Linked DNA regions of Yarrowia lipolytica. Each later gene encodes a partner of the first gene's protein in a complex. Links are inferred from orthologs where the notes say so. Each region holds a gene or a part of one and is shown in the gene's direction. Other genes may lie near its edges.

Region 1 (6,601 bases):
AATTTATTTGATCAACCCGTTTGGAGACTAACATTACACGATCATGGTCCTTCCTAGAAACAAAAGACGGCCCGCTAAGCCCAAGGCGGCACTCAAGCCCGACAACCCCGACACAGAGAAGCTCAACAAGCTGTTTGCCGAGCTCACACAGCTCGATGAGGATCTCGCAGCAACAGATATCGTGTGGAAGGAGACCAAGAGTGTGGAGAAGAAGACCGACAAGACCGATGAGCAGATTTTCGCCACCGTCAGCGACCTAGCGAAATTGTGCCATGCCCACATGACCAAGTGTGGTGTGGCCTTCAAGCCCCCTGTGTCCGTGGACATTGCTGTTCATACTGTTTCTGATCTGCGTAAGGTGTTGCCAGCCTTCACTGGAGAGTATCAGAACTTTGTGTCTCTGTCTGACAGTAGTGATGCTCACGAATTGATGCAAAAGGAGCTTCGTATTAAGCTTAGAGATGTCTGTGGTGGTATTTCGACTTTCAGCCGTGTTGTCCAGTCTCTTCTGAAGATGGATAGTAAGGCTGCCCAGACTATGCTTGATAACGTGCCTGTAGGTGACAGTGACGACGAAGTGACTGATGCAATTGGCAACCTCACTGTGGAGGAGGAAGTCAAGGGCCCCGAACTGTCTGCTGAGGAGCAAGAGGAACAGATTGCTGCTGAAGCATACTCCAAGCAACTGATTCGAGTAGCTCAGACCTGGAAATACTGCAACGCCGTCCAGGAGTTCTGCAAGACCCCATTCTTGGACGTCGCCAAGAGACGTCTCAAGGAGACCTGTTTGGTCATGACTGATGCTGTTAACGAGCTCAAGGAGTGGCTGGATAATGCTGATGACGAAGATGATGATCCCTTTGGACTGGACGACTATGAAGACACTGATGACGAGGCAGAACCTGCTGCTCCCGCTGCCCCTACTTCCCGAAGCGACGAAATTGTTGCTTTGGCTGAGAAGTGGCATGCAAAGCTCATTACCCTATTCAAGCTCGTTCAGGCTCTGGCATCACGATACTCGTCTCTATGCAAGGCTGATGCTGATGCCACTTCCAAGGACAGACTTGTAAGTGTCAACTCCCGTATTTATAAGCTTGCTGCCGGCGTCGACGACCTTGTCACCGGCTTCCTCATGAACAGCTCTGTCGCTGAGCTTGAGGGTGAATCTACCAAACTGGACGAGCTAGTGCGAGACTTGGCAAAGTCCGAGCGACTCAGCCCCGACGGGTCCAGCGATGCTGTCACTGTCTATATTGACAGTGCTTTTTCCTCCGCTTATGGGCTTTAATGAAGGAAATGTCTGGGCAGTATATAGTATGGATTGAATAACTTCAACGTTGACATCGCTTGTTTTATTAGTGCGATCTATTATATGCTATGGTTTTGATGGTCAATTTCTAGTTGGTCAGTTTGCGGAGCTACGGTGCTTTTGATTTCGTCGTTTGACAAACTCAACAATCTGCTGAGAACCAGCAAGCGTAGACACGAACTTTCGCTTTCCAGGATTCTCATACAAGAGAACGCCCAGCTCCTTGGCATAAGTGGAGACATCCTTGTACTCGTCAAAGTTTTTGAACTCGGAGAACAAGTAACCGTCGGTGGCTCGGATTCTGTCCATCTCAAGTTGCCACAGTTTGATCTGATCCACCACAGTAGGGGGAAGAACGTGTTCCATCCCCTTCATACGTGGGTGTGCATGAACAGAGAGATATGTGATGATTTGTTCGGCAGTAATACCGTTTGAGAGCGCAAATCGAACCGAGTCTCGGTTGATCTGACCGGTAACCATGTTTGCAAATCGTGTCTTAAGATTGACAAAAAGGTTCAGTACTGCGATCTGTAGTGGAGACTCTGTGTAGGCGTAGAGTCTGAAATTAGTTTCCAGAATGATAAATCCAGAGTCGGCAGCAACAGAAGACGAAATTGTGTCTTGTGTAGCTGCTTCCATGCTCTGACTGGCTGTTCTAAGTGCAGCCGTTTCTGATGTCAGAGTAGTAGCCAGTCGCGTAGGATAGAATCGTCTAGACGATGCTTTTCGCTGGTAGACGATACCGTAATCCCGCAGATCCTCCAGCATGTGTTTCTGTGTCTCGGAGAGTGCACTGAGCGAGTAGTCCTGGCCTAGCTCGAGAGAACCTAGCATGAAAATGAAGTTGAGCACGTCTACAGGATCCATCTGCAGATACTCGGACATGTTGAGATACTGGAGCAACAGTGTCCAAATCTGAGCATTTACATCCTGTAGCAAGAACTGGAATCCTGCATTGGTGATTCTCAGTCCTCCCCGTTCGGGTTCCATAAGTCCACTGTGCTTCAGCAGGTTGAGCACTCCATCACTGGGTGTTCTTCCAATCGACGTTCCGACCATAAAATGTAAGATCATCTCCCATTGAGAGACAGCGTGAGCATCCAAAAACGCCACATCCACCTTGTGTTTGTCTTCCGTGTCGCAGGGCACTCCAAACGAAATGTTCTGGTCTCCTCCTACCAGAGCTGCCCTCAGGTTCTTTTTGAATGTCGGATTAATGATGATATGGGCCTGGGTCTCTGTGAAAATGTGGAGCAGTCGCAGTTTCTTCTGTGTTTCGAGCTTGAGTCGCTGACTTGAAGGCTTCACCAGAGCGTCGACGTCGGCTACTGCTATGGGATCGGGGTTGAAAATCATGCCCATGATGAGTGTTCTTGCCAGAGCAGGTAGCAGTCGGAACACCGCCAGACATGTGGCCGGAGACTGGTACAGCCGAGTTAGTACTGCCTCCGGAAGACCTTCCAGGTAGTCATTGATGCTGTTTTTGAACTGGCTCGTCATATCCACTGTGATTGCCGTATCAACAATGGTCAGTTTGTCATATCATGCAAGATCTTATTAGAGTTCTACATAAATGGATACTGGAGGAGAGTGAGGTAAGAGATGGCTATGGTTGATATGACAGGAGTGCGTGATTGAATGGCTACACCAAAACCATGGGTTTTCTCTTATTTTGAAAACCTTTCACTCTCTTAGTTCTCCTCCAATTCGAAATACTTGGGTCAAAAGAATATGTTCACGGTTGACAGAAATTATTTGTGCGTCAGTATGCGAATGGTTGGTTTACCGTTAAGTATTTTACTTTACTTTCGTTCAAGCTGACAACAAGCCATAGTGAACCATCCCTTCTATTGATTTAGAGCTGTTTTTTTTTGTCTGATCCGTTATCCTAGAGCTTTTTTATACCTCTTCGTACCTCTCCACCACTTTCTCTATCAACATCCACTCCCTCGTGGTTACGTGTTTACTTGTTTCCACGACCTCACGTCTCTTCGATGATCCCTTACGTTTACAACTTTAATTTGCAGGTACACGTTGCACAACACCTCAATGTAGGAGGAATGATGAAATGAATGATAGAAAGTGGTGAATTACCAACATTAATCCCATGGTGGTTTGAGTCAGAGTGTCAACTGAAATTGCCTGTCCCTCCCTCCCGCGTCGCTCCTGTCCCTACAACAGGTTACGAGTACCGTATGCAAGGACACACCCACCACACACATCACTGAACTCAAACGTGAGAACACGACATATCTAACTATCCATCAGAATGGTGAGTATGGAAACGACAGCTATGATCCGGCAATCAGCTAACCCAGGTGACCATAGGAAACACGCACGACGACCTCATCCACGACGCCGTCCTGGACTACTACGGCAAGCGATTGGCCACTTGTTCGTCTGACAAGACCATCAAGATCTTCGAGATTGATGGAGACAACCACAAACTCGTCGAGACGCTGCGAGGACACGAGGGCCCCGTTTGGCAGGTCAGCTGGGCCCATCCCAAGTTCGGCTCTATTATTGCCTCTGCCTCCTACGATGGCAAGGTGTTCATCTGGCGAGAGGAGAACGGTCGATGGACTAACATTGCTCAGCATCAGCACAATGCCTCCGTCAACTCGGTGGTGTGGGCTCCCCAGGAGTACGGGCCCCTACTCCTATGCGCTTCTTCCGACGGCAACGTGTCCGTAGTCGAGTTCAAGGAGGGAGGTAACTGCGAGGCCACCACTTTCGCCGCCCATGATGTGGGCGCCAACTCCGCCTCCTGGGCTCCCCCTGCCGTGTCCGGCTCGCTCATTCAGCCCATCAACGGCAAAGCATCAAACAACATTCGAATTGTCACTGGAGGATGCGACAACCTCGTCAAGATCTGGAAGTACGACCCCTCTTCCAAGACTTACGTGATTGAGGAGACACTTTCTGGCCACAAGGACTGGGTTCGAGACGTTGCCTGGTCTTCCTCTGTTCTGTCCAAGTCTTACATTGCTTCCGCTTCGCAGGATAAGACCGTCATTGTGTGGACCCAGGAGGGCAACCAGCCATGGAAGAAGAAGCTGCTTCAGGACATCCCCTTCCCCGATGTGGTGTGGAAGGTTAGCTGGTCTCTGTCCGGCAACGTGCTGGCAGTTTCTGGAGGCGACAACAAGGTCACTCTGTGGAAGGAGAATCTCACTGGCGAGTGGGAGTCCGCTGGTGTTGTCGAGGAGTAACCATAGAGAATATATGTATGAGTATTGTCGGGAGAAATTGTAGTGACATGCAATGGGAATACGGGTTTCAATGTTTATAAATACTGTAGAAAAACCTCCTACTATGTTCAATTATGTAAAGATCGTGTCTCGAGATCACCAATTGGAGGCACCTACCCATACAGTTGCCAGATAACTGCACTACAGGTCACACAGTAAAATAGATAATGTCGACTAAACTAGTAACTAAACAACGTTAACCAGATCGGTAACGATGCCAACGAGATCATCGGCAGCTCGCTGACCCTCCTCCATGACCTCGCTGTGGTCGGCAATACCCTCATCAAGCTTGGCAGCATTGTCGTTCAGAGCGCTGTCGGGCTTCTTGAGAACGACAACGTTGGTGATGAGTGACAGAGCAAGCACCTTGATTCCACAATGTCGAGCCACAATCACCTCTGGGACTGTAGACATACCGACGGCGTCAGCCCCAATGGTAGATAGCATTCGAGCCTCAGCTCGAGACTCATAGGTGGGTCCGGAGACGAATGCATAAGTACCTTCGTGGATGCCTCGAGTCACGCCCTGCTTCTTGGCAATGTCGTAGACGGCTCGTCGCAGATCATGGTCGTAGGCATCTGACAGAGGTAGGAATCGGACTCCGAACTTCTCGTCGTTGGGGCCTCTCAGGGGATTGTTGCCTGCCAGGCCCGGTAGGTTGATGTGGTCATTGATAAGCATGATATCTCCGACCTTGAAGTCCTGGTTAAGACCGCCGGCAGCATTGGTCAGAATGACGGTCTTAATGCCAATCTGGGAGAAAACTCGGATGGGGAAGACGGTGTCTTGGATGTCGTAGCCCTCGTAGAAGTGGAACCGGCCCACCATGCAGACAACAGGGACGTTCTTCTCACCCAGCAGACCAACGACGAGCTTGCCGGCGTGGCCAGCCACGGTAGAGACCTTGAAGCCAGGAATGTCTTTGTACTCGATTGTGACCTGAGGCTCAGCCTTGAGAGCGTTAGCAAGGCCGCCGAGACCTGATCCGCACACGATACCGATCTGGGGGTTCTGGAGCTCCTTGGGCAGCTTGTCGGAGATTTTGTTGGCTGATTTAAGAGAGAGATCGAAAGTATCGGTCATTTTGTCGGTGATTGCGGTTATGTGGTGTGTATGTGTCAGGAGAAAGAAATTTGGCTACCTAGCTTGGTTTTGGATCCACCACTGCATATAAACCATGTTGGAAAGAGTAGACGGCGTTGAGATAGTGAACTATATCTGGACATGCCGCGGATATGCCGGCTGGGTGGAGAGACGGCGACTAGCGAGAGGTTCTCGTAATATTGCTGAAGGGTGTTTGAGGAACATAATTGCTTGTTAGAATCATGACTTTGCTTCACTGTGATTCTGTGGCGTTCTATGGGTCTCGAGTTCATCTGTCACCAGTGGGTAGATAAGCATAAGCATGTTTTTTGTCGAGAGTGTTAGTAATAATGAAGATGGGCTTCGCAGTCGTCTTAAGAGGGGTATATAGTGCAAGATCATTGAGAAGTCCGGATTTCTTCTTTATGTTTGAGTCTGTACATGTACGAGTATGTACATACTGTACTTCCAGCTCGGACATCACTCTCTCAAATATTTGTCTCAATTAGTAATCATGCAAAAACAAACCAACGAGCGACTTGATGAAACACTCGTCCTCTATATGCTCACGGGTACGGCTGCATGAGATGCAGTACAAGTATTTATAAGGGGCCGGCACTGTTTCCAAAAAAACAAATGAGACGAGTACAAGTAGCTACTTGTACTGAAATCCGAGATATGATGGGAACATTGACTGTTAAAGCAGAGCAACAGCTGTGCTTGGGCTAAACAATAAGTATTGTATGGCTAACCACCGCTACTACTTGCAGTCATCTCAGAACCGCCGCTTGTCTTGTGTTTCTGCTAATTAATACACAACAGAATCCCAAGATGCTCGTTCATGTTCTTGTTGGTCTGAGCTTCCGCTTGTGTGAGTCCATTATAGAGAGTAGAGTTGGTGAAAGAGGGCCCTATTACTTGGTCTCGACGTGATTCTGAAAGATGGTTCTCCGTCTCC
Region 2 (8,406 bases), on another chromosome or scaffold:
AAGCAGTAGCCCACCGTTCGTGGTCTCGATCTCAGAGGCGAATGCAGCAACCATGCCCAGACGCTATCAGAGAACTATCGTATAAAGCAAGGATACCTGCCCGCGAAAAGTTCTATCCTCGTCAGCGTCTCAAATGTACGAATACTACGCTGTCGTCAAATGTCTGGTCCCGGAATCTTACACCTCCAATCAAGTAGCGGTCAACCAGGTTCTCTACTACTTGGCCAACTGTATGAAGGTATTCAAGCTTCTGGCCGATGCCCAGCAGTTGATGGTGGCGTCTGGAGCCATCCAGTCAAGTGGAAGCATGGCTCTGATCTCCATCATGGACCCTGCTATCTCCCTTGGAGTCGCCTACTTGGCCTACACTCTCTACGTTGACCCTCAGAGGCGAGCAGATCTGCTGCACATGTACGAGTCGCTTCCTCAGTTGGCTCTTCAATGTTGTGGAAATGTATCGCAAGATGGAACGGGGCTTCTTTCCCTGGAAAACCTGGGTCTGATGGAGGGTGAGAGCTCTATAATACACTCACACAGATGCGTCACTAGAACTGCGTCTCACAAGAATTGCCATTCTAAAGTCTCCACCCGCTTAAGTAGTAAAATGCGAATTAATATGTACAAACTTCTCCTCTCAATCGGAACGCTCTCTGCCGATTGTCCTTCATTCTGAGTCCTCGTCTCAGGTAGTTAATAATGAGCGAAAACCGCCGCAGGGTCTCGGCATGCACCCGCGCAGTGATGGACTCCTCATACTCGGGCACCCGTCGCTTGCGCGACTCCAACGTCTTGTAGCAGTCTCGCTCAATGTCCTCCATTGCCTTGATCAAGGCTCGAGATTTGATATTCATCAACGCAATGTCTGACGCGAGCACCGACAGCGTGGAAAGATCTCGGTAGAACTCCCACACAATCCTGATCATAGTGAAGTACACGTCTGTGGACACGGTAGCAAAGTAGAGGTTGCCGGAACGGGTTTTGACGGCGTCAAACAGAGCCACGGAGTCAGCAGGGGACTCGAACTTCTCCACCAGAAGCTGCAGAGACTCGTTGAGCAGAAGAGGGAACCCGGCAGCCACAGGCGGCAGTTCAGAGGGGAGGTTTTTTCTGCTCTGGCCAATGTCCTCGATCTCATCGAGCTGCTTGTTCATGAACTCAAGAATATCGTAGTCAGAATCCAATCGAATCAGCTTCTTGAGTTGCTCCATCATAGCAATTTCCACCTCGGTACATTCCTTGAGATCCAGAGAATCAATCCGATCATGTCGAACATCCATATCGGGCTCGGCACAGATCTCAACAAACATGTCAGGAACACCAGAGTTGAACAGATTCACATATGGCGAGTTGATAGAGGAAAGCTCGACTCCACTGGCTTGTCTGATAGCATCCAAGTTTGCGGTTTCACGGGACTCGTACTCAGACTCATGTGACATTGGTGGCGTTCCTGCTCCTGTTGCTGTCTCCGTAGCCGCTTCTTCCCCCATAACTTTTGCAAAAATCTTTTCAAACGGCGCAGAGCTCCCCAGAGCTCCTCCAAACTCGGACGGGGGAATAACGTGTGTACTTATTTGGTCGCTGTTGCCTCTCAACGGCGACATATCCAGGTTCTGGGGCATGACATATCGGTTCTTAGGCTCTTCGGGGAACATATCAGACTTTCCCCATTGATCGAATCCGCCGGACCAGTCGAACGTGGCATTGTTGTGATCGTCTTGGCCAAGCGCGTCGAATGCCTTGGTCTCGTCCTCCATGGCATCGAATTTGAATCGGTTGGTCTTGTTAAATCCGGAGCTGAAATCGTCGAAACCGATATCTGAGCTGTCCAGGTTGTCGTCGTTGAAAGAGAACTTGCTAAATGTCAGGGGATCGTCGCCCTGCTCTTTCGTGGCTTTCTTGAATGCAGCAAACGGGTCCTTGAACGAACCCCTAGCCTTGGTGGAGGGAGGTTCAAACTCGCCAATAAAGGTGTCTTCATAGTCGGATTTTTTTCGCAGCACGTAGGCCGAGTGCAGGAGCCGCGTCTGCCGGCCTGTACAAACCTTGTACTGTGCTCTGAGCATTTTTGAGAGCAGTGTCGGAGTAGCGGAGACACTGAAAACGGTGTTGAAAATCAGGTGCATAAAAAAATGATTTGAGATGCACACTGTAACCTTGTTTAGTAGCTAATCTTCCAGCTACGTTTAGTTGGGATATTACTTGGCTTTTTAATTGACTAGTTGATGGTGTGGAGGACTACACTGTCAGTTCTACAGACGATTGTGGGTTTTTGCTGAGTCGAAAATCTTGTCGAATGACCCTCGCTGTCGTTTATACGTCTTACCCCTTGGGCTATCTCGTATACTCTCCTACTGCTAAGCAAAACACATTGTGTTCTCCAGCCCGAATCGAACTCACGATAACATCCGACTCTAGGCGCCATGCACTATCATTATCACCCTACATCTCCGGACTACATCACAGCATCCCCGGATTTCGACAAGCAGAGTCGACCCAGGGCCCAAACCAAGACGCGACATAGCTACATCTCTGCTGACCTCACCGCTACTTTCAGAATTCGAAGCGGACGTAAATTGACGATTCTACGAGCCAATACCCAACTCAGGTCATCCCCAACAAGATGACGACTTTTGGATCAATCGCTCACGCGTACCAATGGGACTCTCTTCCTGGTCCCGGCGTCGACGGACACCACATCATCGGCGTGTCGCCTACCCGAGACGAGGTGTCGCTTTACCAACTTCCCCTCAATCACAAATCGTTCTTCAAAGACAGCTTCACCGAGCCAGAGAAGATCAGGTATCGAAGCGGCTTTTCGGCGATCCACTGCTCGGCATACTCGCCCGTCAACAAGGGCATCATTTCTGTGGCGCAGCTCAACGGATCGGTGCTTCTATTCGACATCAACAACCCCGAGTCGCAGGTGGTCAAACTACGCTCCAAACAGAGCCGAACCTGCAACGCTCTAGCCTTCTCTGACAATGGAATTCTCGCGGCGGGACTGGAAAAGACACGTAACGACAACTGCCTGCATATCTGGGACGTCAATGCTGTTGTGGAGGGCGGCAATATCACTCCTCTCAGCACCTATCTCCCGAACGAGATTGTGTCGAGTCTGGAGTTCATCCCCAGGACTCATAACGTGCTCTGTGGCTCATACAAGCTGTTGCGTGAAATCGACACCAGATCCGGAACTCCTCTGTACCAGTGTGCCACTCGATGCACTCTAGGAATCACCACCTACCCCCACGAACCCAACTACTTTGCATCCTACGGAGAAGATGGAAGCATGGCCGTCTGGGATCGACGTCAACTGCGACAGCCCGGAGGAAACTCGTCAAACGAGCCGATGCTACTATTTCCACGTCTTCTTTCCGAACTCCCCAGAAAAGCGAACGCTACTCACTTGAGATATTGCACCACCAGACGGGGAGAAATGACCGTCTATGGAAACACAGACTCGTCCATTCGTCGAATCGATATCGGTCTGGCTGTTCGAAGTGATGATGACGTGTATCAGAATCAACAGAACAACGAGCCCACATCAAGTACGTCTCAGAATCGGTTTTTCGACTTCCAAAAGCCACCGTCTGACCCCACAGCTTCTCTTGACAAATACCTGTTTGTGCGGTCGTCCAAGGACGTGGAGATGCCGCTCGACAAGCTTCTGGGCTTCGACTACATCCACGCCGAGCCTGAAAAGTGTCCTGTCGAATACATTTGCATGCGACGAACAGGCCAGGTGTACTGTTTCCGGCCCAAGGAGTCGCCCGAGGTTCTGCGGTTCGATCCCCTGAACACCCTCACGTTCAGCAATGCCACGAACGTGTTTTTTGAGACGCCCAGTGATGAAGTCCGAGAAGTCGATTTCAAAAATCAGCGCGAATCTGTCGTTTCGGTGGTTTCTCCAGACGTGTCTTCTGACGAAGAAGAGCCCTCCCCACGTGCTCGTAACTACAGCAACGACTCTCAGATCGGGCTGATGAAGCTCAGAGACATTTTGGATAACGACATCTCCACCATCATTCGAAAACGAGCTCTGGCCGGCTACGGACTCGACACTGCTACCAACAAGAGTCTGCTCAAGAGCCACAATCACAGTCTCTGGCCTGCCCATCTGAAAAACACGTGGAAGTGGATTTCGCGGGCCCAAAAGGCCGATATTGACCGGTCAGTTGTCTCTGAATTCTTTGACCTTGGCTACGAGGGCATTCTGGACGTGTGGCAGGGTGTCCAGGGTCTTGCTCTGCAGCAGAATCGATTATTGAAAAAGGACGCTACGGAGTCCCAGTTTGCCCAGGCTATTCAGCTGGCGATGGAGACGGAGTTCACACGCAAGATTTACATCTCCGCGTCTGTGGCGGGCACAAAGAAGCAGTTCCAACGACAACTATGCTTGTATGTTGCTGGTTGGGATTTCTCCTACGACAAGCTTGAAGCCGAGATCCAGAAAGCCGAAGGTAAGGGCGAGTACGAGAAGGCAGCAGGTTGGGCGGTGTTCCATGGCAACGTGGAGCGAGCTGTCCAGTGTCTTGCTGGGTCCAAGAAGGAGCGGCATCGAATCATTTCGACCGCCATTTCAGGATATCTGTCTCAATCTACAAATGCCAACTCTTCCTGGCGAGAGCAGTGTCGACGGCTTGCTTCTGAGCTGGACAATGCCTATTTTCGGGCCATTTTCGCCTATATAGCCGATGGAGACTGGCTGGATGTGCTTGCTGAGTCTTCTTTGCCTCTCAAGGAACGCCTGGGTGTGGCTCTTCGGTTCCTTCCCGACAATGATCTCACCAGTTATCTGAACCGACTGGGGGATCAGGCTGTTAGCAGAGGAGAGCTGGAAGGCATTATTTTGACCGGAATCACTCCCCGGGCAGTTGATCTGCTACAGTCTTATGTGGATCGAACTGGTGATATCCAAACGGCAGCGCTGTTGACCTCGTTTGGAGCTCCTCGGTTCTTTGAGGATGAGCGGTACTCGCAGTGGATTCTGTCGTACCAGCAGCTGCTCAACCAGTGGGGAATGTTCAAGGAACGTGCTTTGTTTGATATTGCGCGTACCAAGCTGAGCCAGAATTCCTCTGGATCGGTTACTGCGGTCACCAAGCCTCGACAGGTGTTTCTTCGGTGCTCATACTGCAACAAGAACATTTTCAAGGACGAGTCTAAGCCCGCAACTACGTCTACTCCATCTGCAAAGTGCCCGCATTGCAACTCGCCTCTTCCTCGGTGTGCCGTGTGTCTGCTGACCATGGGAGAAGCTATGCCAGACACCCGCGTTGAGCAGGAGAAGAACAACTTTGCTTTCCACCAGTTTTCGCATTGGTTCAGCTTCTGTCTGAGCTGCAATCATGGCATGCATGCGGGTCATGTGCAGAAATGGTTTTCCAAGCACGATGTTTGTCCTGTTCCGAATTGCAGCTGTTTGTGTAACAGTATTTAACTGGATGGCAATCGGAACGAGTCAACGGAACAAAAAGCCCCTGGTCATGAGTCGACAACTTCCCCAAACCCCACCTCACTGTCCAACCGCTTCTTACTTAACGAATCAACTTATTATTGAAGAATGTGTTTACCTTCTTGATATGGGATCATGGAGCATATACAAGTACATAATGTACTAGAATTCTCGGCTTAGATCCTCCACATACATGCAAGGCCTTGTTGGGTGCTCCTGAAACACCTCTGCGAGTTCCCTGAACTGTTGGAGATGTTGCCTACAGGAGCTCGAAGAAGATATCGATGGGGGGAATGGTACAAGGTCGGAAACGGACCATAGAGGGCTACATGCTTGGTGAGCCTGTTATTGGCGTGTGCAAGACTGGCCAATTGTGTTGTGGCATTCTGGAGAGATATCGAGATGTCCACACACGGGTTGCTGGTGGCTTAGGTAATTATATGCCTACAGTATTTACTTGTAACAATACTGTAGCTTACTTCTAAATCATTTTTATTCAATTAATCTTCAACTAAGACTCTGGTGAGTCAACTAATTAATCTAGTGAGACTGAACATACAATCGCACTATCTCGAACACTAGCGAGGGATATTTGAACAACTAATAGAGAACGACTAAGCCGACAATAAAAACTACTTTTTGTTGTCTCGGAATCTCTCCATCTCGTATCATTCAGTAATCATATTGTTTTGTTAAAACCCGCAACTAATAGTGTCACTACTACTTAACCTACCTAACACCATCCTCCTTACTCCCTCCAACTCAGTCAAAAAAAGCTCAATTGAGAATGGGTAAAAAAAGTCTTGTTTGAAACCTCATTTTATCACCTTTTCCACCCCCATAATCCCTTCATTACCCTCATTACCCTCATTCACATACCTTTCCACAGACCGCCCACTCTGTCTACCCTAACCCTAGTTATGCCATGCATGTCAACAAATAAATGTGGATCATGGCCACCACCACACAAGCACACAAAACACTGACAAAAATGGACCAATCGCCGTTTACTCGGCGTCTGTACGAGGCCGGTACTCTTGATGACATGCCCAGTCCCACTCGTGAGAGCACACCCGGCAATGTGACCTCCAACATGACGACTTCTCTGCCTTCGACTCCTAAGCACTACCAGTTTCGCGAATCTGCGTCTGGAGTGAACTTCAAGGCTTCTCCGGTGACGCCGAAGGCCGGATTCACGCCCAAGTTTGGCGGCCCCTCGACCCCGAACAGATCGACCCAAGCCACCCCCCAAGGCACTCCTACGGGATCGTGGACCCATCCCAGTCTCAAGGTGGTGAAGCAACGAAGCGGAATCAGCAAGGAGGCCATGGTCAAGCGGGTGGTTTACAACGCTCTGAGCTGGCTGGTGTTTGTGCTCTTTCGATCGTTCGTCAAGCGGGTCTTTTTTGACTGGATCGCTCCGAACGACCTCATCCACCTACCCCCAGACGACTCCCCCACCTGGAAGTATGTTCTGTACCTGCAATACTTCATCCAGGGCGTGTTGGCCACCAACATTCTCCAGGCACTCTTCTACCTGGTCCAGCCCCAGGATAAGTACGCCGATCTGCCCATGACGGACGAGCAGAGAGAACTCATGGGACTGCCCAAACTCAACAAGAAAACCGACATCAAAAACGTCCCCACGCCTCCAAAGTACGTGCGAAACTCGCCGGGCTCCATGAACTTCCCCTCGCCCAAACCGCGATCGAGATCCAACTCGACCTCCTCGTCTTCGGTGGGAACCATTTCAGCCTCTCCCGGAAACTCCTCTGTGGACCTTGGAAATCTGTCTCTGGGTCCTTCGGCTTCTCCCCTGAGACGCCATCCTAACCACGTGGTCTCCAATGTGCCTGGAATTGGCACTCCTTCCCCTCTGGGCAAGTCTGGTGTCAATGTCGCCAAGACTATCCAGTCCACTGGAAAGAATTCCGCCGCCAACACCACCGCCAACATGTCGCTCAGCCAAAGCACGCCCATCGGTACCCCCAAGAACAAGTCCAAGCTCAACCAGAGCCAGAGCTTCACCCCCACAGGACGTTACATGTACTACAGTGACTCTCCCCGGAAGGCGTAATTGACCCAACAACCAAGACGAGACCCCATGGACTACAATCCACAATCATACTCGCAAGGAGAGTCCAACTTGCATCTAGAATATAGCTAATTGATACCATTTAATATTGTCATAATTGCAGTAGGGAACTATCTAAGACTCTCTAAGACCATGTCCAAGCAAGCATAATAGAGTCATTTGATGATGTTGCTAACTCCTGGACTCGACTCCCGAAACATCCATGAACAAAGCCACCATCTCGTCTCGATCCAGATCGTCTAGCAGCTTGGAATGTGAAATGTCTGGCATCATTTGTTTGATTCTAGCAGCGGAGTAGCTTCTCAGGTCGTCGTTGCAGGCTTCAAACGACTTCTTCCACAACATGATGGCTTGTTGAACGTCCAGAGCCTCCGCTTTGATTTTGGCCACCGCGAGACTGAGTAGCTCGGGCAAGTCGTACATTTGAGCCATGACGAGAAGATTAGCTGCATCGCCGAAACCGAATTCCAGAGGCTGCCCGTAGAGATATCGCACGGCGACCTCGATGGTCGATGCTGGAAAGGGCAGATCCAGGGAGTTCTCCGTCGCCTCCATCATGTTCGAGTCTATGGTGGCCGAGAAGAACGGCCACAGCGGTTGCAGCACCGTTTTATGGACCTCTATTTTCTGTCCATCCTCACTAGTCAAATGAAAGTCTCCAGGAGTTCCGTCTCTGATTTTGGCCAATCCAGTCTTGTGCACGCTGGTGAGATGTATCTCGTCGGGGTTGTTATCCTTGATGAAAGATGCCAACTTTGGAATATCTTCGTTTTCAAGGGTCTGGAAAACCACCACCGTCCAGCTGTTGTCCAAGAGACAGACTCCTTGCCATAGACGAGACCTCAGAAAGAAAACG
Region 3 (8,188 bases), on another chromosome or scaffold:
GTTGATGAGACCGAGGTACATGTCTAACATCAATTTTTTCAGCACTAGAGCCTGCTTCAATGCGGCCTCATCCCCCGTTTGCTCTATGAGAATCAGTTGCTGCTGGAAAAACAGCCCGATATTCTTCAATTTCGGCCGCAACAGTAGCGGTCTCATTGCTCAGCTGATTCTCAGGGTATCAAAATGTGGTACTGATCGGTGTTGATATTGTCACGAAAAAGACAAGGATTATGGTGCAGTTTACATGCATGCAGAGAGACTATCGCACTACAATAAAATAAAAATAAACGACAATAAAAAAGCGACAATAAAAAAGCGACAATAAAAAGCGACAATAAAAAGCGAAATAATAAAAAAAAGTGTCCAAAAAAGGGGATTCCGAAACTCGGTTGATTTGATTAATCCACTTATAATGTTCTAATTGCTACTTGATAAGACACTACTGACGGAAAAAGCAAGAACGAGGAAGTTGTTGGGTCGCGGTAACGAAACGGAAATTTTGTAAATATGTAACTATGGTATAACAAAATTAACAACTATATCATAGAGTTAGTAAACAAAATAACAACCCCAAATAGGTGCTTGCGACTGTACTGTACATACTACAGTATTGTACGTGCAGTAATAAATACAATAAAATAAATAGGTTAAATATACTAATATAATAAATACCTTCGGTTCGCTATATATACCATACCCTCTCTCTATATACATACCCTCCAATCACTACCAACACTCCTCACATGCTGCTCTGGACTGCCAGAAATACGGTGGCATCCCCTTGATCACCTTTCGATACCTCTTCAACTTCTGCTTGTCCGCATGGCCCAGATGTTTGTGCCAATACGTCAAGTCCAAATCCACCAACTCGTAACCTCTCCACAACAAAACTGTTTCTCCTCCCATGTATTCTGTCACCTCCAATCGAGGTAACTGGACCATGTAGTTGCTGTTCTTGTGACAGACTCCCACAAGAGGAGCGAAAGCACACTTACCGAGAAGATTGTCCAGCACTTTTTGGCAGTAGTAGGCCGTCGCATAGATGGGCTTTCCCTCAGGATCATAGGCGTAGCAGACAGTCCCCCTTTCAGAAACATGGTACTCGTCTCCTTCTATCACCAGAGTTCTCTCTTCTGACGGCATCGGCTGTACAAATAGTCGTCTGTCTTTGACCACCAGAGGATGCTCCTCATCGGTAACATACCAATCAACCCAATCATCGTCCTCATTATACCATATTTCTGGGTCGTGTATGTTGGAGTATTCAATACATGCCTGGAGAAACATGCCGTAGTAAGTGTTGATTTTGTCACGTGAGTCTGTGAACATGGACTTGAAAAAGAAAAACTCCTTGGTTCTCTGAAGTGTCTCGAGATGCTCTTGGAACGGCAATCCCATCAGTCTGCCTTCAGTAGCGGGGCTAGGAATACCATACACCTTGTCCTCAAAGATGTAGTCATCGAGATAGAAGTTCTTGTCCACCAAATTGTCAAAATATCCGGATGGAACCGTATTGTAAATCTTTTCGTACCCTTTCGGGCCATCCCATTTGGTGCCGGTATCTTTTTTCAGCCTGCTCGACTGCTCTCTGTCCCATCTCATCTTGTTGTATCTCCTTATGCTGAGTAGGAACTCAGAATGCAGCACCTGGCCCATCTGGAGCTGATTTGCCACAAAATGCTGAACTGTTGGGCTAACTTCTGTTGTCGCCCTAGGAAACATGACCAGGAATTGGTCCACGGGTCTGGGTGAGGGCGTAGAAGCCACGTCCAGCAGTCCAGGACCTATGAGAGTCATGCGATCATGAGCCACATCTCGCTGAAGTGGATTCAGCTTCTTCCACCACGTTTCCCAGTCACTTCTGGGGTTTCCTTGGGCTCTAAACAAGGCATACAGTTTGTCCTGAAGTCCCGGGTCTCCTTTAGTTCTGTTCTCCAACCACATGTTCTGGTATCTGAACAGTCCAACATTGTCTCCTACCGGCAGCCATCCACAAGCCGTAAAAAAGATGAGTGCGAGGTTGATGAATACATTCGGCAGAAAAGGAGGGGTTTGCTGCTCGAAAACAACATCAAAGTCATAAACCTCCACGCCATCTCTTTTCAGTTGAAAGTATGCCGACCTTGCGTTTCGCCAGAGGTACGTTCGGATAGCGAAATAGGTCTCCAGCACCTCTATATCGTCCGTCGCTTGTTCTTGAAACATCGGTGTCTTTTCTAGGTAGCCCATTTGAAGGTATTCCAGAGCGGTAGTCTCGTCATGTTCGGCCAAGAACTCTTGCACATTCTTCTCGTCGTGATCAAACATGCTGAAATACGCCACAGTAATATCGTAGGCATCCTTGAACTTGGTGGAGGGGTTGTGGTAACCGCCGGCAAACCTCAGCAGGCGTTCCTTCGTGACAGGAGCTCCCACATAACCCACAAACAGAGAATAGACAAGATCATAGATAGAGGTGATGAGCCCCATACGCATGATATCTCGCAGACACTTTTCAACCACAACTCTCATACACCAGGCCCAGTCTGCATGTGTCCACCGCGGTACAAACGTGGTCACCAGTTCCTCGTACACGTCGACAATGATGTATCTGAGCAATTTGACCCTTTTTCTCGTGTCATTGTCGGTTTCCTGATCTGCGTGGCCATTCAGAATGGCTCTCAGAGTGCCCAGATCCGGCCTGTGTATCGTCGGTCGCATGTGTAGGTGGGTTGTGGAGCCGGGAGAGGGGGGGGGAAGTGTATCGGGAGATGAGTTTGAGACTTTGAAGCTTAGATTTCGGAATCAGATGATATTTTTACAAAGAGGAACATCGAGGGGCAAAATGTTTTTGTGCAAGACAATTGGTTTTTGTGAGAGGGGTCTTCTGACTGTGGACAGTCTCAAGACTACAGTATTGTCAAAATGTTTCATTATAGGGTTTCGAGATTTTTTGTGTTGAAAAACTCAAACGGAAAAAGGGGACGATAATGTCCGGCACGAATGTGCTGATTTTCGGTGCGATATATGAGGAGAAAGACGGCGATTGAAATAGGAGGAGCATATATTGTTAGTAATCTGTTTAACTAATCGCGTAGGATCAATATTGGTGGAGTTAGATGGATCATAATGGAACTGACGATGGGGACGTTTTTGTTGGGAAAATAGAAAAAAAGGTTAAGTAAAGCTAACTAATAGGTCCAGTAGCATACCAACAGTGTAGATAGCTTTGTTGACATTGTTGAGTTTATCTAACTATCAATTGTTGATGTACAAGGATGTCTGGAAACGGCTGAAAGCGTAACAGCGTAATGAAATTGCAACTCGGTGTCTCCATCTATATAATTGCTTCTTCTAACTATGTTCCAGACGAGTATCCTATATATCCTGTTCCCCTCAACACGGTCATAATCTGTCACTTATCCTCAAACTCTAAAATAAATGTTTATTTGGTACCACAACACACATTTCGCTACACGCCTACCATCACACATCACAACCATGGCTGAGACGTTGACGCCCTCGGTGGCGCTTTTCAACGAGTTGATTGCGTCGAGCAAGAATCTGCCCCACGCCGCCTCGCACCTGGGCTCAATTCAGCTCGATCTGAGCGAGATCGGCAAGCGAGCAAACTCGTTGCGAGACAAACACTCGGAGGGAAACGACACAAAGGCACACTACCTGCTGGCGGGCAGCGGAATCAACGCGGAGGACATTTATCTGCAGTTGTCGTCGCTGACGCTCAATCCCGGGATCGAGTACTACGACAAGAATGTTGCGGGCATCGACTCGTATCTGCAGAACAAGAAGCAGGACAGCATTCTGGCGGCCATTGCAGACTCTGTACGACTGTCAGCGTCAGATTTTGACCAGTTTCTCAACCAGAACGTGTCCCTCGACTGGGCCAAGCGCAAGGAGCAGATCTGCCAGCACTTTGGCCTGATCCAGAAGGACGACGACAAGAACAACCTCAACAACAACACAACCACCAACACAAACAACAAGCTGACAAAGACAGTCCTGGGGGGCACCTGGGGCGCCGCGAGTCTCGGAAAACTCATCTTGGGCACTCCTGAGATTGGCACTGCTACTCCACGACAACGGCAATTCGCAAAGGCCATTTCGGCGCTCAACAATGCCCGATCAAAGGGCCAGGCCTTCCCCGTGTCCGCAGCTCTTTCCACTGCAGCCGATAACCTCTCTGACGCCAAAAGTCAGCAGCTCAACGATGCATGGGATATTCTGTCGTACATCTCTGGAGAGTCGGTCGAGGCTCCTGCCAAAGAAGGAATCTACAGAAAGATGTACGCTGCTCCTCCCGGCAGCCCCGACGGACTCAAGGTGCGAAAACAGATCTCCCATGGTTCTAAAATGTATCTTGAGCATCAGTTTTACGCCTGTGTCGAGGCCGAGATTGCTAAGTCTCCCCAGGACGCTCTTTTGGGAGGCGTGCCATCAGTCTACAACAAAATCAAAGCTTACTTGAACGTGCGGTACTTCCGAGGAGGCCAATGGACCAAGGAGAACATGGAAATTCTGAACGGAGTGCCCGTTTGGGCTGTTCTTTACTATATGGTTCGATCTGGACATCTTCAGGAGGCTCTCGACTTTACTCTTGAGATTGAGTCGTCGCTCGAGAAGATTGAACGTTCATTCCCCGTCTATCTCCAGGCATATGTCAAGTCTAAGGATCACGTGCTGTCACGTGACATGCATGATCGGATCCTCACCGAGTTTAACCAGCACATTCGGTTCCTCGATGCTCATTCCGATCCTTTCAAGTTTGCTCTGTACAAGATCATTGGCCGATGCGACTTGTCTCGAAAGGTCTTCCCCGAGGTTCTTGAGACTGCTGAGGACTGGCTGTGGGCCCATCTTGTTGTTTCTCGAGAGACTGTGGACGGCCCTCTTCAGGATCGATACACTCTGTTGGACGTGCAGCGAACCGTGCTCAACTTTGGATCCAAGCATTTCAACCCCTCTGGTAAATCTCCCGGTCTCTATTTCCAAATGCTCCTTCTATGTGGTCTTTTTGAGGCTGCTGTCAGTTATGCTCTTACCTTCTGTCCCGTTGATGCTGTTCATTATGCCATTGCTTTGGCTTACTATGGGCTGTTGCGTGTCTCCAAGCCCGAAGATACCGAGGACTCCGATGGCTCATATCTTTCTGTGGACAAGAAGGACCAACAGGTTCTTCATTTTGCTCGTCTGATTGGACACTACACCCGGGACTTCCGACGATCAGATGCTGTTGATGCTGTTGACTACCTTGTTCTGCTGTGTTTCTACCGAGATCAAGAGGACGCTTGTCACGAGGCCCTGCGAGAGCTTGTGCTCGAGACTCGGCAGTTCTCTGTTCTTCTGGGTGACATTAGAGCCGATGGAGCTCGGTCTCCCGGTTGCATTGAGCGTCGGTCCAAGCTCATTGGTCTGGACAAGGACGACTTCCTCACTCAGATCACTGCCCAGGCTGCTCTGCGTGCTGAGGACGACGGTCGGTTCGCTGACGCGATTCTCCTTTATCAGCTGTCTGAGCAGTACGACACTGTCGTGTCTATCATGAACCGAACTCTTGGTGACGCACTGAGCATGATGGACTTTGGAGACTCGAACGTGGAGCCTGCCCAGTCGCTTTCTCTGCTGTCCACCGCGACCAACCCCGCTCAGTTGGCCGCCACCATGCGAGAACTATACACTAACAACCCCCAGATGTACTCGCATGTGTCGCAGCGGAACCGAGATACCTGCGAGATTCTTCTGCAGATTGTGTCTGCTCGGGAGTCGTACTCGCGTGGCCACTGGGCCCATTGCATTGCTGTGATTGACAATATCAATGTGATCCCCATCCACGTTACCGCCGACGTAGGCACCATTCGTCGACGTGCTCAGGACTTTGTGTCTCTCCACGAGTCCACTGCTCGAAATGTGCCCTCGTTGCTGCTCATGACTATGACGTGTTGTGCTGAGTTGGCCCAGAACATCCAGGAGTCCGAGTTCAACGATGCTACTCGGTGCGACCGGCTGGCCGAGCTCAAGGCCCGGTCTCGAAACTGTATGATTTACGCCGGCATGATCCAGTACCGAATGCCTCGAGAGGTTTATTCGCAGCTCACTGCTCTGGACACCAATCTCAACAGTGTTAACATGTAGGGAGAAGAAGACGATATAGATAATTGATTGTATGAATAGCTATTAAAAGTTACGTAGATTGTGACTATTTTTGCGGATAATTTGAGCAAGACAGACCTCTTGAGGCTAGCAATAGAAATGCACGTGATACAGAGTCAATAGTGTGTATTAGATTATTTGGAAGCCTCAAGAGCCTGCTTGAGATCGCCGATGAGGTCATTGGCGTCCTCAACACCAACAGAGACCCGCAGGTAAGCAGGGTTAGTGGTAGCGTCACTCATGAGTCGCCATTCAATCAGCGATTCGACTCCTCCAAGAGAAGTGGCGTGGTTGAAGAACTTGAGCTTGCTGGGCAGAGCTCGGGCGGCTTCTCGAGACTGCATTTCCAGCACGAAAACAGGTCCGTAGCCTCCCACAAGCTGCTTCTTGACAAAGTCCTCGGTCTGAAAGGACGAGTGGTGGACACACTTGAGCGCGGGGAAGTCAGAGAGGTGGTCGGAGAAGTACTTGGTGATGGCGGTGGCGTTATCCGACTGCTGTTTGATTCGCAGCCTGTAAGTTCGAAGAGATCGGAGCAGTAGCCACGATTCGAGGTTTCCGGGACCTGATCCGAGGAAAGATCGGTCACCAACCAGCTGATCGGCTTCCTCGTGCGTCTTGACGACAAGAATTCCAGCCAGCAGATCAGAGTGGCCTCCAAAGTACTTGGTGGCTGAGTGCATGACAATGTCGGCTCCAAAATCAAAGGGGTCCTGCAGGGGGGGAGGAGCAAAGGTAGCATCAACAGACAAAATGCCGCCCTTTTTGTGAGCAGCGTCGGCGTAGTAAGACAGGTCTCTAGAGTAACCGGTGGGGTTGACAGGAGTCTCCAGGTGAACCAGATCTCCCTTCTCCACCTTGTCCAGTTCGTCTAGCGACAGAATCTCCAAGTTGTATCGGATTCGCTTGAAGATGTCACTGACAGCATGGCAGCCGTGGTAGGCTTCTCCGATGAACAGGCGCTTGGGGTTGACGTGGACAATCAGGGCCGTGAACGCAGCCAGTCCGTTGTTGTAGACCACCGGGAACTTGTTGTTGAAGATGGTCGACAGCACCTTTTCCACTCGCGAGGTGGTGGGGTGGGCGATCCGCGAGTAGACGTACTCGTTGGTTCCGTAGGCCGCTTCATCTTCGTTTTCAGCCAGAGGGACCAGATCCTCCGGGTTGCTGGAGTACCGGAAGGTGGTGGAGACGGCAATTGAGGGTGCCACGTCGTTGGTTCGAGCGAGTTCGTCGTCTGCGTGAATCGCGAGAGTGGAGAGGTCAGGAGAGGTCATGGTAGTGGTGTGACAGGGAGTGTGACGATACAAGTACAGTACAGTACAGTAGTTGGTTAAAAGTCGACATTTACACTGTCAATTAACTTTGGGGGTGCGTCCAGTACGTGCGTCTGGCAGGCAATAAACGAGCCATCTCACGTGTAGGAAGCGCCTGAGTGGACACGGTTGGCCCGGATTTCGCCTATATTGTAGAGAGAAGGGTTAAGGGATCATGCTTCTTGTGTTTTACAACAAACTACATGAAACTAGACAGGATGTTGTAGCAGTATCTTTCTGCATAATACATTCATTATTACTTCAATTGGTGGACTGTGTGGGGTATAGTTGGAAGGTCTAAGTAAACCCAAGTATTATCAGAATAGTACGATGAAGACGAACGACCGACACAAGAAGATGGCATATGATGAAAGAGATAATGGAAGAGTTGTATCGTGATCTTTGCAAACTTTGACGGGTATTTTGGGGGAATATGTCGTCTTGGACAGCTCTATAGTTGGAGTAGAAAGTTAGTAATCATCAGTAATTGATCTTGAATATACTTGCATGTACTGTACCAGTACAGTAAATATATATATACTGTATATATATTTAATAATTACAACTCTACTTAGAAAATATGAGTATATACAGTAACACTAACAGATATTACTTCACTTTCACTAGTTTTAGTTGGGATATTGTTAAAACAAAAGTTCACTGAGGTCCCAACTCGGTGCTACAGACGGGATAAAGAGTCAAAAAAATACACCAATCAGTAGGGA
Region 4 (7,302 bases), on another chromosome or scaffold:
GACGAGTACGAGTACCGGATGAACAAGTACGAGAGAGCTTCCCACAAGTGGTTCAAGTGGTTCGACGAGAGAGACACAAGGTCAGACAAGAAGTTGATTTGCAAACTCGACATTCTGTTGACAGTTTACTCACTAATGGTGTATTGGGTCAAGTACCTGGATCAGACCAATGTCAACAACGCCTATGTGAGTGGAATGAAGGAGGACCTGGGATTCAAGGGTAACGATCTAGTGCATGTCCAGTCCATGTATCTAGCTGGAGCCGTCATATTCCAACTTCCCTTCATGTTCTTGCTTCCCAGAGTCCCTCTGAATATTGTCATTCCGGCTGTGGATTGTATGTGGGGATTGATGACTCTGCTGACCTGCAAAGTGCACTCGGTGGGTGCTCTGAAGGCGCTGCGATTTCTGGTTGGAGCTTTCGAGTCCGGCTTTATTCCCACCATCTATTACCTCATGGGCTCATGGTACAAGCCCTCGGAGGTGGCCCGAAGAGCTGGTTTCTTCTACATGGGTCAATTTCTGGGGTTGCTGAGTTCCGGCCTGCTAGCCAGTGCAGCTCTGAATCTCGACGGAGTGGGAGGCTTTGAGGGCTGGAGATGGGTGTTCATCGTTGACTCCATTTGTACTCTCCCTCTGGCTGTTGTAGGGTACTTCATCATCCCTGGAACGCCAGACAAATGCACTTCTCTGTTTCTGACTGACGAGGAAATCATCCGATGTAGGGAACGCAAGAAGCCCTTTGTGACGGAAAAGAAGGGCCAGCAACTCAAGAAACTGACGGATTGGTCACTATGGAAACCACTACTCACCTCCTGGCATCTCCCGACCGCCATTCTCATCTCCTGCTTCTTCTACAACAACACCAGTGGAAACGCGGGCACCTTCATTCTCTGGTTGAAGAGCCTGACTGATTCCAATGGAAACCAAAGATACACCGACCAGAAAGTCAACCAGCTCAGCACAATTGCTCCTGGTCTAGGTTTCGCCTATGTCTACCTGGCATCTCTGTTTGGAGACCTTGCACGATGCAGATGGGGCGGTATAGTGATCACTCAGATGTTCAATTCTATCGGAGCAGTGATTCTGGCTGTCTGGGACGTTCCAGAGGGGGCCAAATGGTTTGCCTTTTGTCTCCAGTACATCTCCTGGGCCATGAGTCCTATCATGTACACTTGGTGGGCAGATATCATGAGACGAGATCCACAACACTACGCTATAGTGCTTGTCATGATGAATATGCTGGGCCAGAGTTCATCAGCATGGGTGTCGGTGCTTGTATTCCCCACTTCTGAAGCTCCCAGGTTCAGAAAGGGATACGGAACTTGCGCAGCTTGTGCCTGTTGTTGCGCGATTATGGCGGTAGTCATTTTGTACTTTTATAAGAGAGACGAGAAGCGAGATTGTCTGCGAAACGGAATTCTGCTGGTGAATGATAATGAAGATAATGGCGACAAAACTGGCAAGGGAGTCGTTATTGAGGGTCTTTCTGAGAGCTTTGATGAAGATACTGGAGTTGCGAAGAAGCTTGAAGTCGAAAAGATCAGAGAAGCCAGTGTTAGTGACGAAAATGTCAGCAACCTGTCGTTGGTGGTTATTTGATGGTACAGTGATTTGATGGTAGAGTAATTTGATGGTATAGTAGCTACTGTACAGTATGTATAATTGATCTGGTTTGCTACAATGTTTATGACAACAGACCTTTGTCACTACGAGTATGTACAGTACTCGCAAGATTTCTGTCTGTTTTCAAATTCATCATCTTATTAGCCTCATGGCTCACTATATACAAATCTGTACTCTTTTGGGTGTCCGGTATTTACCTGGTCGTCGATAGGATGGAGTCCACTCGCGACCAAAGGCCATTCATTAGCGCTTAAGATCGTCCCTGATGCTTCTCCTTTCCAATGAAAGGAAAGTTGAAAGCCGACAGCAACGCTCGGGCCTCGGAATCAGCCTGGGCGGTGGTGTGGATGGTGATGTGCATTCCGTACATCTGCAGGTAGGCGTCCTGGTTGGCCTCGACCTCGGGGAAGTTCTTGACGTCCTCAGGGATCAGACCAAAGGCGATGTTTCCGTTTCTATCTCCAGACGAATTTCGAATTCCGTTGAATCCAATGGCTCGAGGCAGAACCAGCTCTGTCAACGAGGTCATAAAGTCGGAAATCTTCTCGCCGGTAATCTCCACTTTGGCGCCCATGGGGTAGCCCTTTCGGAGCTTCCAGGTCATGATATTAGACCGGGACCGGACTTCCTTAGCAGCACAGCCGGTGATCTGCTGCAGCAGGAGTTTCTGGTTGATCACCTTCTCGTGGTCAAGAACAGTGCCGGGGTCTGTGCAGTTGATGGTGATCTTGGTGATGGCAGGGATGTTCTTCCAGGTTCGAGGGTGCACGTCCTTGGTGGGGGTCTTGTTGGGACCTCGAGGGGGCTGAGCAGGTCGTCCAAGATGGTAGGGCGAAGTGAAGTCCCATGGTCGGTGCTTATTTCCCTTTCGCACGGACTGTTCGTGGACATAGCCCATCAGCAGCATGTCTGACGCGACCGTGTTGTTGTAGTGGTCGACAACCCGGTCAACACGGGTGTTCTTGGGCACATACTTGTTGGACTCAATCGATCCAGGGTGGGTCAAAAGAGTCTTGGTGAAAGCCGGCTTGAGAATGTTCTTTTTGTATCTGTAAAGATGGTGAACCGGCGGCTTGATCGAGATCTTGGCGCCTCGAGACACGGCCGCAGAGGCGTGGAAGGAGCGGGTGAAGACCACGGACATTGTGAGTTGTGAGGGTCGTGATGTGTAACGCAGCACAAGAAGGTGAGTGAAAATTATTGACTTTGGGAGTTAGTAAGCAGGGATGAAAAACGCAAGTGATTATCCGTAAAAAAAGGCGTGGGTACTAGTTAGTAGTAATCAACCGACATGGGCTTTGTATTGGTAACATCATTGACTTCTAATATAGAAAATTTCCCGAACAAAACTACCCGGTCTAGAATATACACAGAATTAGCAATTTGGCGTGAATATTTGGGTCTGCCTTGAAAATCTCTCCAGAACTCGGGGAAAAATAGGAAAACACATAAACAGTCGAATAGCAGTCTGTATATGGTGAAATTCTTTGTAATATCCCTTCTTTATCTCCTGTTTTGGCGCAGTAATGATGTCCACTAGTAAGTACCAAATATACGCCTACATGACTTTTTGGCGTGCACATTCTTGTCCGGTGATTACAATGCAGTATTGGAGTTGTGTTTTGGGCTTGATAAGGAAGACTGTGAAGTGGGATGTGGGTGGGCGGTTAATTAGTAATCAAAGAGGTCGTTAGTTAGTCATCTTACAGTCATAGATTATGTAAAATATCACGTGACGTCTATGATCCAGTTGATGTTACTCTCATTTCAATCGCACTGTTTCTAGTATCGTTTCAAGACACATTGCTTCACCCTCCATACAGCTCGGTCTGCATATTCTAAGTTGCATGTATCAAAAAAGTATAGCCGACTGAATCCATCAAGACACATCCAGGACCATGAAATTCAGCCCATTGAGACCGGCGGTGTTGACGCGGATTCCGAATTTCGAAGACGGATACGACCCGCTATGGGACGATGAGGAGCTGTCGCAGGAAATCAGTCAGTACGAGATGTCTCTGGAGGAAGAAGGCACACCCAGTAAGCCTCCTCGGAAGACTCCTTCTCAGTCGAGATTTGCAACGGAGTACAGTGCCTCGAACAGTCCGACTCGGCCGACGAAACCGGCAGTGTCATCTCCTTTGAAGCAGGAGCACAGAGACGAGACTCAGGACGTCAAAGAAGACTCATATCGCTCTATCCACGATCTGTCTTGTGCAGAGTGGGAGGGTACATTGAACCGGGTGTCACTTATCCTTGATCAATGTCATCTGAGTCCCGTTGGAAATTTCAAGCGGGGTCATAGACGGGGTTCCAGTGTTAACAGTGTGTCTCTGGGTTCCCCGGTCGACCCTGCGGCTGCCATTGATTGGGGAGCTCCTTTAGCTCAGGTCGAGAAGGAACTCCAACATGTGGAGGACGTGTGGGCGTCTGAGGAGCTCAAACGACACAATGACGTGGCTCGACGGGAGTCTGTGTTTATGTCTCGGATGGGAGACGATCGGCTCAAGCAATCTGATGAGCTGGCCAAGAAGCGGGAAAAGAGAAACAGCGTGATTGTGGGCGGGTTGGTTGATCAATGGGAGGCTGAGAGACGGGAAGAAGAGCGGCAAAGGCTGGAGGCCGAGAGGAAGGAGCGTGAGAGGATTGAGCGTGAGAGAGTGGAGGCTGAGAGGAAGGAAAAAGAACGACTTGCGAAAGAGAAGGAGGAAGCTGAGAGACTCGAACAGGAACGACTTGCGAAAGAAAAGGCCGAAAAGGAGGCGGCCGAGAAAAAGAGAATCGAAGCCGAACGTTTGGCCAAGGAAAAAGCAGAGAAGGAAGAAAAGGAACGTCTGGAAGCGGAAGAACAAGCCAGAAAGGACAAACTGGGCCAGTTTACAAACTGGAGAGCGGTCGATAAGGAATTCCTCCAGTGGAAGGCCAAAATTGAACAAATCAAGAAGGACATCAAGGAACCGGTGGCCAACAATGCCGAAGTCAAGAAATTGTGCAATAAATGCAAGCGCCAAATCAACCCCAAGTTCGGACAGCTCACGCCTTCAGTTACACACACAAAACAGATCAGTGAAGACTTTGTACAGATTTTCAATGAGGCCAAGCAGCACAGTGAGCTCGTCTACCTCTGGCTCCTCAACTTCTTTGCCAAGAGCATTGTTCGACAGGCTGAAAACGAAACCATTGTCGCTCCTCAGAGTGCCCTTCCCTTAGGAATGTTGGCCGCAAAGATCATGTCTGTGTTTCCGGAGCTCACCGATCTCATGGTTGCTCGGTTCGTCAAGAAATGTCCCTTTGTGATTGGCTTCACTTGTGACATTGACACCGAGCAAGGACGAGAACGCATGGCCTGGAGAAAGCCTGGAGGAAAGTGGGAAGACGAGACTGTGTACTCTGAGCGAATGGGTGGAATTGCTTCAGTGTATGTTGCTATCACCCAGATCAGATTTACTGCACCCGCCGAAAACCCCAGACCCATTTCCTACAGCTGGACCATGATTGCTAGGTTGTTGAATACGGAGACAGAGAAACTGACTAACACGCATTTCACGGTTGCCGCTTCATGGTGGGAGGTGATTGCTGTGAGATTCCTGGCCACGTACGGCATACAGGGCAGAAAGATGTTGCACGCTGCATGGGATCCTTGGACCGCTAGTTGCGGAGATAAGAGGTTTCCTGCGGGTGCGAGACTGAGATTGATGGGTGAGGAGTGGCAGAAGACAGGTAATGTGAAGGGACTTACGCCAATGTCGAAGAATTAATGAGGAGAGATTGGAGAAGGGGTTGGACGAGAGCACGCAAGAGCGAGCAAGAACGGACAGAGAGCTCAACTCGAAAAATGTACCCACCAAAGTACGCGAGAAGCGCATGGCGACTTTGACAACATATCCTGCTCGCTACGACGATTTGGTGTTCATGGCCGTCTTTATGAAATCTACGGCTGCTGACCTAGGTATGGGCTAGACTGTCGTCTTGATGCGACGACGTGATAACTAGAGCAACTTTTCACTATAACGATGGCATTTGATTGATTTATATAACAGTCTGGAGTGTATCCTGTGGACTCAACATGACCTCCTATGGTACGTAGTCGTATGACAAGTCGGTACGGTAGTGAAGAACTAAGAGGAGATCAAATTGTTGGATTGTCATGCTCAGACTCTCACGTCGGACACCTCGACGGCCTTGTGAACATGTGACCATCACTTTGTTCTACAGTATGTATGGCTATACCAATGTCAACTATTTCACATTTCAGGGGATCTACTGAGCGGCTGTCCCCACACCCCATCTCTACATTCAAACAGCGTAATCAAACATAATAAATAACATGTACTTAGTCAGTGACCGTTCTACTCCATCTTCAACCAAACACCATCATCATGACTCATGGTCAAATGGGTATTGTACTTGGGAGGCAATGGCTTATCATCACAACTGGTCACAGTCTCAAACTCCTGAGCAAGTCTGGCCAAAACATACCCAGCCTCGGTAAGGGCAAACTGCTGACCTAGACAAATTCGAGGACCACCATTGAATGGAAGATACTCCCATCCTCGGGCAATCTGATAGCCCTCAGCAGGATCCCATCGCTCAGGAATAAACTCCTCTGTATCCTTACCCCAGTACTCCTCAGCTCGGTGGGTATGATAGACAGAGTAAACCACGATACCGCCCTTTGGGATGAAGATGGGCTGGTCAAGGTCAGGACCTCCTCCCTTGGGAAGAGTAGTATCTCTTGTGGCCACTCGGAAGTTCATGGGAACAGAAGGATAAAGCCGCAGACCTTCGTTAAGCACGTATCGGAGATATTCGCATCGCTTGAGTGACTCAAAAGACAATTCGTCGGGAGTATCACCAAAATCATTAATCACAGCCTGTCTCAGCTTCTTCCAAGTTTCAGGTTGACGAGCCATTCGGAACATGACCCAGGAAAGAAGAGATGCGGTGGTGTCACGTCCGGCAAGCAAAATGTTGAGCATCTGGTCTCTGAGCACCTTGGGGTTTCGGGTCTCCTTTGCCAGCTCGTACAAGAAAATGTACTTGCCCTCCTGGTCGAGTTCCTGGAACTTTTCTTTTCTGGCGGCCAGAGCCTTGGACACGTAAAAGTCGGTGAAGTCGTGCACAATCTTGTTAGCGTCGGCGTACTTCTTTCGGTAAAAGACGGTTCCAGCGAAGAAATACAACTTCATGAGTTTGGCTCGAATGGAACAGAACCACTGAGCGGTATTAAAGGCTTCAGGGAAAGCTCGTCGCACATTTTCGTCAATACCAGAGTGGTCGAGCTGGGGAGCAGTTGGGTCGGCCAAGTAGTCGGTCAAGGAATCAACCGAGTCTCCGCAAAGAAATTCTGTGGCAGTATCGAGAGTCAACATGAAGAAGAGCTCCTGGATATCAAAGCCCTTGGCAGGATCACACTCCTTGTTCTCCTTCTTGATGGTCTTGAAAAGCACCTGAATGTGTCTCTCTAGAGAAGCCACGTGACTGACCTGATCCCGGGCGAATTGAGGTCGCAGTAGAGCTCGGGAATGGGTCCATCCCTCTCCATCGAGAGTAAAGATACCGTCTCCGAGAGTTGGCAGCATGATTTTGTGACGGGTTCCCAGTGAAAAATCTTTGAATTGGGTCGCCAGAATCGCTTTGATGTTGTCTGGATGGATCGTTTGTAGCATGTCTGTA

What was found.
Region 2: YALI1_F37734g (region 1) and YALI1_D23693g share a complex: the UniProt entries of both Saccharomyces cerevisiae proteins name them as parts of the SEA complex. The link is inferred for Yarrowia lipolytica from reciprocal best matches to the Saccharomyces cerevisiae genes SEC13 and SEA4.
Region 3: YALI1_F37734g (region 1) and YALI1_C30399g share a complex: the UniProt entries of both Saccharomyces cerevisiae proteins name them as parts of the nuclear pore complex. The link is inferred for Yarrowia lipolytica from reciprocal best matches to the Saccharomyces cerevisiae genes SEC13 and NIC96.
Region 4: YALI1_F37734g (region 1) and YALI1_B02874g share a complex: the UniProt entries of both Saccharomyces cerevisiae proteins name them as parts of the nuclear pore complex. The link is inferred for Yarrowia lipolytica from reciprocal best matches to the Saccharomyces cerevisiae genes SEC13 and GLE1.

What each region holds. Positions count from the first base shown.
Region 1 is NC_090775.1:3,770,471-3,777,071, reverse strand, and holds YALI1_F37734g (uncharacterized protein), read left to right. Parts: upstream 1-3,578; coding exon 3,579-3,581; intron 3,582-3,627; coding exon 3,628-4,521; downstream 4,522-6,601. Other genes in the region: YALI1_F37770g (uncharacterized protein), read left to right, coding at 44-1,288; YALI1_F37742g (uncharacterized protein), read right to left, coding at 1,406-2,809; YALI1_F37714g (uncharacterized protein), read right to left, coding at 4,747-5,643. UniProt on the Saccharomyces cerevisiae protein: Functions as a component of the nuclear pore complex (NPC) and the COPII coat. It is one of 5 proteins constituting the COPII coat, which is involved in anterograde (ER to Golgi) double-membrane transport vesicle formation.
Region 2 is NC_090773.1:2,366,644-2,375,049, forward strand, and holds YALI1_D23693g (uncharacterized protein), read left to right. Parts: upstream 1-2,620; coding exon 2,621-5,440; downstream 5,441-8,406. Other genes in the region: YALI1_D23668g (uncharacterized protein), read left to right, coding at 134-497, 550-596; YALI1_D23688g (uncharacterized protein), read right to left, coding at 612-2,123; YALI1_D23721g (uncharacterized protein), read left to right, coding at 5,487-5,614, 5,690-5,795; YALI1_D23730g (uncharacterized protein), read left to right, coding at 6,399-7,532; YALI1_D23753g (uncharacterized protein), read right to left, coding at 7,722-8,406. UniProt on the Saccharomyces cerevisiae protein: Component of the SEA complex which coats the vacuolar membrane and is involved in intracellular trafficking, autophagy, response to nitrogen starvation, and amino acid biogenesis.
Region 3 is NC_090772.1:3,036,578-3,044,765, forward strand, and holds YALI1_C30399g (uncharacterized protein), read left to right. Parts: upstream 1-3,420; coding exon 3,421-6,129; downstream 6,130-8,188. Other genes in the region: YALI1_C30367g (uncharacterized protein), read right to left, coding at 1-156; YALI1_C30392g (uncharacterized protein), read right to left, coding at 727-2,700; YALI1_C30440g (uncharacterized protein), read right to left, coding at 6,282-7,424. UniProt on the Saccharomyces cerevisiae protein: Functions as a component of the nuclear pore complex (NPC).
Region 4 is NC_090771.1:283,636-290,937, reverse strand, and holds YALI1_B02874g (uncharacterized protein), read left to right. Parts: upstream 1-3,524; coding exon 3,525-5,384; downstream 5,385-7,302. Other genes in the region: YALI1_B02910g (uncharacterized protein), read left to right, coding at 1-1,602; YALI1_B02881g (mitochondrial 54S ribosomal protein uL5m), read right to left, coding at 1,877-2,770; YALI1_B02850g (uncharacterized protein), read right to left, coding at 5,558-5,744, 5,790-5,914; YALI1_B02833g (uncharacterized protein), read right to left, coding at 5,976-7,302. UniProt on the Saccharomyces cerevisiae protein: Functions as a component of the nuclear pore complex (NPC).